Linked DNA regions of Callithrix jacchus. The protein of the gene in region 1 interacts with the protein of each later gene in a biochemical or structural test. Links are inferred from orthologs where the notes say so. Each region holds a gene or a part of one and is shown in the gene's direction. Other genes may lie near its edges.

Region 1 (3,905 bases):
CTGTTGATTTCACACACTCTTGGGGGGTCTCACGCCGCAGTCCGAAAACCCCTGCTCCTGAGCAAGTTGGGTTTCCCTAGAGACCAAGAAGTGGAAGTAGTTCCGTCCTTTGTCTACACGGCAAGGAGCTTCCAGATTATTCCCAGGGTAGCAGGCGGCCCCATCATGGGAGGCGCCAGAGACAAAGAGGAGGAGGACATGGGCCAGGCAGGGGAACCAGGGTGATGACCTGAGCCAGGTCTAAGGAACCACCACGCCTCCAAGGTTCTCACAGCTGACGCTGGCCAAAATATCGTAAAATTCTCATGTCCAAACTGGCTCTTCCAGCCTGGGTAACATGGTGAAACCCCGTGTCTACAAATAAATACAAAAAATAGCCGGGCGTCGCGTCGGCGCCTGTGGTCCCAGCTACTCGGGAGGTTGAGGCAGGAGAATCACCTGAGCCCGGGAGGTCGAAGTTGCGAGTGAGCCGAGGTTGCGCCATGGCACCCCAGCCGGGGCGACAGAGGGAGAGCCTGTCCCAAAAATACAAACAAAAAACCCAAAACCTGGCTTTTAGGGCAAGTTAATCACCCAAGAATTCTTAGATACTTCACTTGGAGACCTCAAATAAATCGATCGGCAAAACGATGCGCTTTTTAAAATCATGCCTGGTGCAGCTGGGTGAGCATGAACTTGTTCCCCAAATTCAGGGACCCTGACGTGTAAAGGACCCGGCTTTGGGAACCCAAAGGTAGGGGGCGCTGCCGAGCACCCCCGAGCCGGACAGCGTCCTCAGTGAGCAGCAGCAGGTGGCCCACGGCCCGCCCGCCCCCAGGGAGCAGAGCCCCGCGATCCCAGCGCCGCCAGGCTCTGCGGCAGCAGGACCACGACTCCGGCAGTCTACCCGGCGCGTGAGACCCGGGGCGCTCCCGTCCACGCACGACCCTCCGTTCAGGCGCGCCTCCCGCCCAGGCCCCGCGCTCCGTTCAGCCGGGTTGTCAAGAGGCGGGGCGCTCTCACGGCACCCGCACATGGGTGACCGACTACACCTCACTTTCGCGCATTTCACAAAGGCCCCCACGTCCGGGCGTGCCCGGTGGGTGGGGGTGCAGGGCGGAGAGCGCGGGCGGCCGGGAAAGGCGCCCGGACCTTCCCGAGAATTCCGAGCTGCGCAGGCGCCTTGAGGCTGGCGCGGGGGCGTGCAGGGGGCGCGCAGCGGCTGTTGAGGGAGGGTTGCCCGGGCCGGGCCACGCGCGGGGCCTGCGCGCGCCAGGGGGAGGGGCGGGCCGCGGCGAGGGCGCAGGCGCAGGCGCGCGGCCGCGGCGGCAGTTGGGGAGGGTTCTTCCGGAAGGTTCGGGAGGCTTCTGGAAAAAGCGCCGCGCGCTGGGCGGGCCCGTCGCTATATAAGGCAGGCGCGGGGGCGGCGCGCCAGTTGCTTCGGCGTCCTGGTGCTTCAGCTGCGCTGCGGAGCCCGTGCGGTCCTTCAGCCAAGGTAAGGGGCGGTTGGGGGAGGCTGGTGGAGGGGGATTGGGGGCCGGAGGCGGCGGGGGCTGGGCCGGGGCCCTGAATCCGCCGGGGCCGCGCTCCCCACTCCGGAGGCCTCCGCACCCGCTTCAGGAATGGGCCGGGCGGCCGCGGGCTCCCCGAGGCTCTTCAGCCGCAGCGGGACAGAGGGCCGGGCTGCGGGAGAACCCCCGACCAGCCTGGCTGGGGCGAGGGGCCGAGGAGGCCGCGGTGCGGGCGGATGCGGGAGGGTGCGGGCTGGCCGGCGGGGAGCGCGGCGGGGACTGGGCCCGGGCCCGCAGCCGCCTCCCGGAAGCGCGCGCACGCTCCTGGCGGTTACCGCGCTGCGGAATGAGGTCATCCTTTGTCAGCCGCCCTTCTATTTTCGGTTCACTTAAAACTCCGCAAATCTCCTGTTGGGCTTTAAAAACGTGGAGGGCGCGACGGCATTTCGTGTAGCCCCTGTAGACATCCTGCAGGGTGTGAGACCGCCTCGCTGTCCTTCCAGATGCCCGAGGAAACCCAGACCCAAGACCAGCCGATGGAGGAGGAGGAGGTGGAGACGTTCGCCTTTCAGGCAGAAATTGCCCAGTTGATGTCCCTGATCATCAATACTTTCTATTCCAACAAAGAGATCTTTCTGAGAGAGCTCATTTCAAATTCCTCGGATGTAAGTCGCTTGTTAACTCGGAGTAGGGTTTTGGTTTCAGTGGGGTTGGGTGGGGGCTGCATGCTTAATTTGTAATTTTTGTTGATAGGCATTGGACAAAATCCGGTATGAGAGCTTGACGGATCCCAGTAAATTGGACTCTGGGAAAGAGCTGCATATTAACCTCATACCAAACAAACAAGATCGAACCCTCACTATTGTGGATACTGGAATTGGAATGACCAAGGCTGACTTGATCAATAACCTTGGTACTATCGCCAAGTCTGGGACCAAAGCGTTCATGGAAGCTTTGCAGGCTGGTGCAGATATCTCTATGATTGGCCAGTTTGGTGTTGGTTTTTATTCTGCGTATTTGGTTGCTGAGAAAGTAACGGTGATCACCAAACATAACGACGATGAGCAGTACGCCTGGGAGTCCTCAGCAGGGGGGTCATTCACAGTGAGGACAGACACAGGTAGGCGCCCGAGCATGCACGGGTTAGTCAGTGGCGGGAGGGTGGGATGCTGCAGCCCTTGGACCTCTGAGGCTTCCAGCAAGTTGTGTTTGCCCAACGTTGAGGAACAAGCTAGAGCACTTAATATGGCATGACTTGCTTACTACTTTGTGGCAAGGCACCTAGACCTGTTGTGGGAACCTTTTCATCTGTAGTAATGGCAAGTCTTGATAGATCTGAGTGAGGCATGGCTTGAACGCTAAGTTGATTGGATTATTGAGTCAATTTTCCCTACTTCTGCAGGTGAACCTATGGGTCGTGGAACCAAGGTTATCCTACACCTGAAGGAAGACCAAACTGAGTACTTGGAGGAACGAAGAATAAAGGAGATTGTGAAGAAACATTCTCAGTTTATTGGCTATCCCATTACTCTTTTTGTAAGTTTCTATGTAATTGCAGAGTGAATGCCATGCACAGTGGCTCACGCCTATAATCTTAGCACTTTGGGAGGCTGAGGTGGGTGGATTACGAGGTCAAGAGATCGAGACCATCCTGGTCAACTTGGTGAAACCCCGTCTCTACTAAAAATACAAAAAATTAGCTGGGCATGGTGGCGCGTGCCTGTAAGCCCAGCTACTCGGGAGGCTGAGGCAGGAGAATTGCCTGAACCAAGAAGGTGGAGGTTGTGGTGAGCCGAGATCCGCGCCATTGCACTCCAGCCTGGGTAACAAGCGAAACTCTGTCTTTAAAAAAAAAAAAAAAAAAAATTGCAGAGTGAGTTACTCTCTGTAGATGACTGGGGTGACTGAGCTACATCCTTATTCCTTAGATCTGTTGAACTTGGGTTGTTATTTATTAGTGTGGAGCCTGGGGAACCTAAGCTCTATCTACTACCTTAGTCTATAAGATACGTTGATGAGAAGCTGCCTGGCTGCTTCTGGCTTGGCTGACTAGGCTTTGGCCTTAGTTGAAAATAGTTGCTCAGTGTTACCAGTTGCAGCAGTGATGTGATTTCACGTCTTGTTTTGAAGGTGGAGAAGGAACGTGATAAAGAAGTCAGTGATGATGAGGCTGAAGAAAAGGAAGATAAAGAAGAAGAAAAAGAGAAAGAAGAGAAAGAGTCTGAAGATAAACCTGAAATTGAAGATGTTGGTTCTGATGAAGAAGAAGAAGAAAAAAAGGATGGTGACAAGAAGAAGAAGAAAAAGATTAAGGAAAAGTACATCGATCAAGAAGAACTCAACAAAACAAAGCCCATCTGGACCAGAAATCCTGACGATATTACTAATGAGGAGTATGGAGAATTCTACAAGAGC
Region 2 (3,905 bases), on another chromosome or scaffold:
TGGGATTTAAGGCCCTACCAGGCCATAACTCGCCCGCCGATAGGCGGTCAACTCCCTGATTAAGCTTTTCCTCTCCTTCACCCCTTTACATCGGACTCACGAGGGCTGGGGGCAGCTCCCTTTCGTTAAGTGCTTCCTGCGTGCTCAACAGCGCATGAATTCCCCTCGGCCCTCCAGGATGAAAGGACCCGCGAGCGCGGGCTCAGAGAGGGTATGCAGTTCCACTGAGGACGCCCAGCGGGACAGCCGGGCCCGCAGCCGTGAGATCCCCGGCCTGTCCAGCCCAAGCCCCCGGCGCCCTCGCGGCATTTCTAGAACATTCAGAACCTAACAGCCAGGATGCAGAAGGGCCGGGCCCGAGGCCAGAGCGCTGGACAGCACGGGCAGCTGGCGGTCCAGGGCCAGGCAGCGCCCACCGGCAGGGACCCCCATCGCGATACGCGGGCGAAGGGATGGGATCCTGTGCCGTTGGCGATCCCGGGGACCGCCTGGGACTCGCGGCCCACGGGAGCGAGAGGAAAGGGCCGCCGGAGCCACAGTGTAGCCTGCCTGCGGCCGGGGCTGCCATACTCTACGGGCAGGGCAAAACCCGGCCTTTTGAAGGACAGCAGCTTAAGCCAATTAGCGCAAAGGGTTGGCAACCCTCTAACCCAATTGGAATTTCTCTCATTTTAAAGGCGGTTCCTACATGGAGTCCGGCAGCCCAATGGGAGAGGTGGAAATTTCCAGAACGAACAGGACCAATGGGCGCGGCCAGCGGGGCCACGATTGGCAAAGCAAAAAACCAATCCGTGTCGCAGAAGTCCGCTCCTCCCTCCATTCGTGGAGCCTGAGATGGGTGGGGTTTATGGAGGAGAGACCAATCCTGAGGTGCGGGGGAGGAAGGGTTGCGGGAATTACTCCCTGCTGTCCAATGAAAGGGAAGCAGAGATGATGGGCTGAACCTCAAGCCAATAATAAAGCGTCACAGAGAGCCCCCTAGAAGAACTCGACCAGTGAGCAGGAGAGGAAGGGGCGGGAGACGGGGGTCCCGGCAGCTTCTAGTAGGTTCCAGAAGGCGGCGCGTGCGGTTGGTAACGCGGAGCGGACGGATTCGATTCAACGAGATTCCGGGCTGCGCTGCGCTATGGAGCAGGTGAAGGGGGAGGGGCGGGCTAAGGCTCGGGGACCGGCGGAGGCCAGGCCGCGGTAGGGGGGCGGGGCGGGTGACGGATCGAGGCGACCGAAGAGGGGTGCTGGGGCCGGACAGAGCGGCGGCGGGGAGGCGAGGGTGTGAGGGCCGCTGCCGGCGGGCGGGAGCGGGGTCTATAGCGAGGCCCGGTCGCGGGGATCGTCCATCACCTCTTGGTTGGGCAAGGAGGGCCCGAAGGAGGCCACAGCTTGTGAGTCCGGCCGGTGGCGGGAAGAAGGGGCCGCCGCCGGGCCCTGAAGGTGTCCTGAGGGGCGGCTGGAAGCCGAGCGGGGGAGGGTGTGGGCCACACGGGGCAGGGTGGAGGTGGGCGAGGGGCCGGGGTCCGCACCCGCGTTGTCGCCCTTCGGGAGATCTGTGACGGCCGACGGAGAAACCTCTCGGACTGGCCACGAGGAACTTGGACGGATCCAGGGAGCGGGGACGGGACTACACTGGGAGTCGCCGAGGGTCGTAGCAGCCTGGTGTACCCAGTTGGGGCACATCCTGCTCCTCTGCATCTGAGAAGGTCGGGGAGCGAGAGTGTTGAGCGGGGGTTCGAGGAGCCGCAGGCTGAGTGCCTGATGCGGGGAAGGGGAGGGTGCCGCAAAAGTCCTTGGAACGAATTCCATCTCTGCCAGTGTTTTACAAACGTATTGCGGCCCCTCCCCCTCTTCTTGTATGCTTGTGTGTGATTGTCGAGTGACCGAGGACTGACACTTCCGAAAGGTGGGCTTTTGACTACGCGGGGAGGAATTCGTGGTTGTAGAATTTACGTTACAGAGAACAGCAGCTGGAAGTTATGGGCCTCCATTGAGCATTTGGGGGGCCGAGTTTGAAGCGGCTACTGCTTGCTTTCAGTGACTTGGTTATGTCCTCAGTAGCTTGTGGTTGTGAAAGGCCTGGAGGTTTTGTTCCATTGGAAGCTGTCATTGAGCTGTAATGATTCATCGGAAGAAAAAGGACAAAACAGCTCACTTTTTTTGGTGTGAGACAGAGCTGAGCCTTTTGGTGTCCTGTAGCAGTTGGTTCTTTGGGCAAAACTCGAGCTTCCTTGCTGTGTTAAAGAAAAGACTACAAATGAAGTTAATAAACTTTTTGTTGCCCATTTAATAGTAAAGTTGTATCTAGGGTTAAATGGGCTGTAGTATAGGGGAGAAGGTTTCTGGACTAAGGCATTGTTCTTTTAAGAAAGTATCACAGCTGGGCGTGGTGGATCACGCCTGTAATCCAGCACTTTGGGAGGCTAAACCCAATAGATCACCTGAGGTCAGGAGACCATCCTGGCTAACATGGCGAAACCCTGTCTCTACTAAAAATACCAAAAAAAAAATTGGCGTGGTGGCGCATGCCTGTAATCCCAGCTACTCGAGAGGCTGAGGCAGGAGAATCCCTGGAACCAGGGAGTCGGAGGTTGCAGTGAGCCGAGATCGTGCCACTGCACTCCAGCCTGGCAACAAAGTGAGACTCAGTCTCAAAAAGAAAAAAGAAAGGATCTCTTTCTAATGTTACCAAATTTTAACTTTATTTTTTAGACACAGGGTGTGGTTCTGTGGCCCAGGTTGAAGTCCACTGGCAGGATCATATAGCTCACTGCAGCCTTAAATTCTTGGCCTCAAGTGGTCCTCCTGCCTCAGCCTCCTGAGTAGCTGGGCACACCACCATCACAACTGTAATTTCTAAATTTTTTGTAGAGGTGGGGGTTTCGCTATGTTTGCCAGGCTGTTCTTGAATTTCTGGGCTCAGGGAATCCTCCAGCCTTGGCCTCTCACAGCGTTAGCACAAGGATTACAGGTGTGAGCCACGTTGCTTGGACTTAAAATGTTCGTTTGTTTTTAAATCACTCATAGAAGTGTATGTACAGGTAGATAGTCAACGAATGTTTTGCTGAACTCAGGCCTGCAAACTGATGTGGTTTCTGTACAGGCGACCTGCCATTTAGCCCTAGGTGTGTTTGGGCCCACTGTCTTGAAACCATTCCTGAAAATAAACATGCAACTTCTCTACCTTTTGTTTTCATTTTCAGCTGTCAAGTTTGTATTTCAGTTTAGAAAATACTCAAGTTGGGCCAGCCTGATGGCTCACACCTGTAATCCCAGCACTTTGGGAGGCTGAGTTAAGCAGATCTCGAGTTCAGGAGTTCGAGATCAAGCTGGCCAACATAGTGAAACCCCATCTCTACTTAAAAAAAAAAAAAAAAAAGTTAGCCTGGCATGGTGGTACACCATGAGACCTGTAGTCTCAGCTACTTGGGAGGCTGAGGCAGGAGAATTGCTTGAACCTGGCAGGTGGAGGTTAGAGTGAGCTGAGATTGCACCACTGCACTCCAGCCTGGGTGACAGAGCGAGACTCTGTCTCAAAAAAAAAAAAAAAACAACTCAGGTTGGACAGATTTTGAGTGTTCAAGCGTGTATTTTTTTAGTAGGGGCCTTTCAAATAAATCCCACAATGTTACACTTCTTACATTTAACCCAGCACAGGCATACGGCTGCGAAATACATTACTCTTTTAAAATGCTGGTCATGACCTACGAAATTGATTTCCTGACCCACTGCCGATCAGTGCTCTGTTTGAAAAATGCTTTTCTAAAGGATGGGCAGGAACTTCACCAGCTGCCTCTTGACACCACTTGAGTTTTGTTAACTCCTTGTCTTCTGGCCTCCATCTTGGGCTCTAGGATTTTTCAATCCCCTGTTTGCTTAATTTGGCAGGTTCCTTATGCCGGTCCCTCTCTAAG

What was found.
Region 2: the proteins of HSP90AA1 (region 1) and STIP1 form a complex in vitro, tested with the Homo sapiens proteins (9 studies listed by BioGRID). The link is inferred for Callithrix jacchus from reciprocal best matches to the Homo sapiens genes HSP90AA1 and STIP1.

The regions. Positions count from the first base shown.
Region 1 is NC_133509.1:137,004,096-137,008,000, reverse strand, and holds the start of HSP90AA1 (heat shock protein HSP 90-alpha), read left to right. Parts: upstream 1-1,412; 5' UTR 1,413-1,474; intron 1,475-1,993; coding exon 1,994-2,155; intron 2,156-2,243; coding exon 2,244-2,610; intron 2,611-2,892; coding exon 2,893-3,026; intron 3,027-3,620; coding exon 3,621-3,905. UniProt on the Homo sapiens protein: Molecular chaperone that promotes the maturation, structural maintenance and proper regulation of specific target proteins involved for instance in cell cycle control and signal transduction.
Region 2 is NC_133511.1:121,241,715-121,245,619, forward strand, and holds the start of STIP1 (stress-induced-phosphoprotein 1), read left to right. Parts: upstream 1-1,068; 5' UTR 1,069-1,126; coding exon 1,127-1,135; intron 1,136-3,905. UniProt on the Homo sapiens protein: Acts as a co-chaperone for HSP90AA1. Mediates the association of the molecular chaperones HSPA8/HSC70 and HSP90.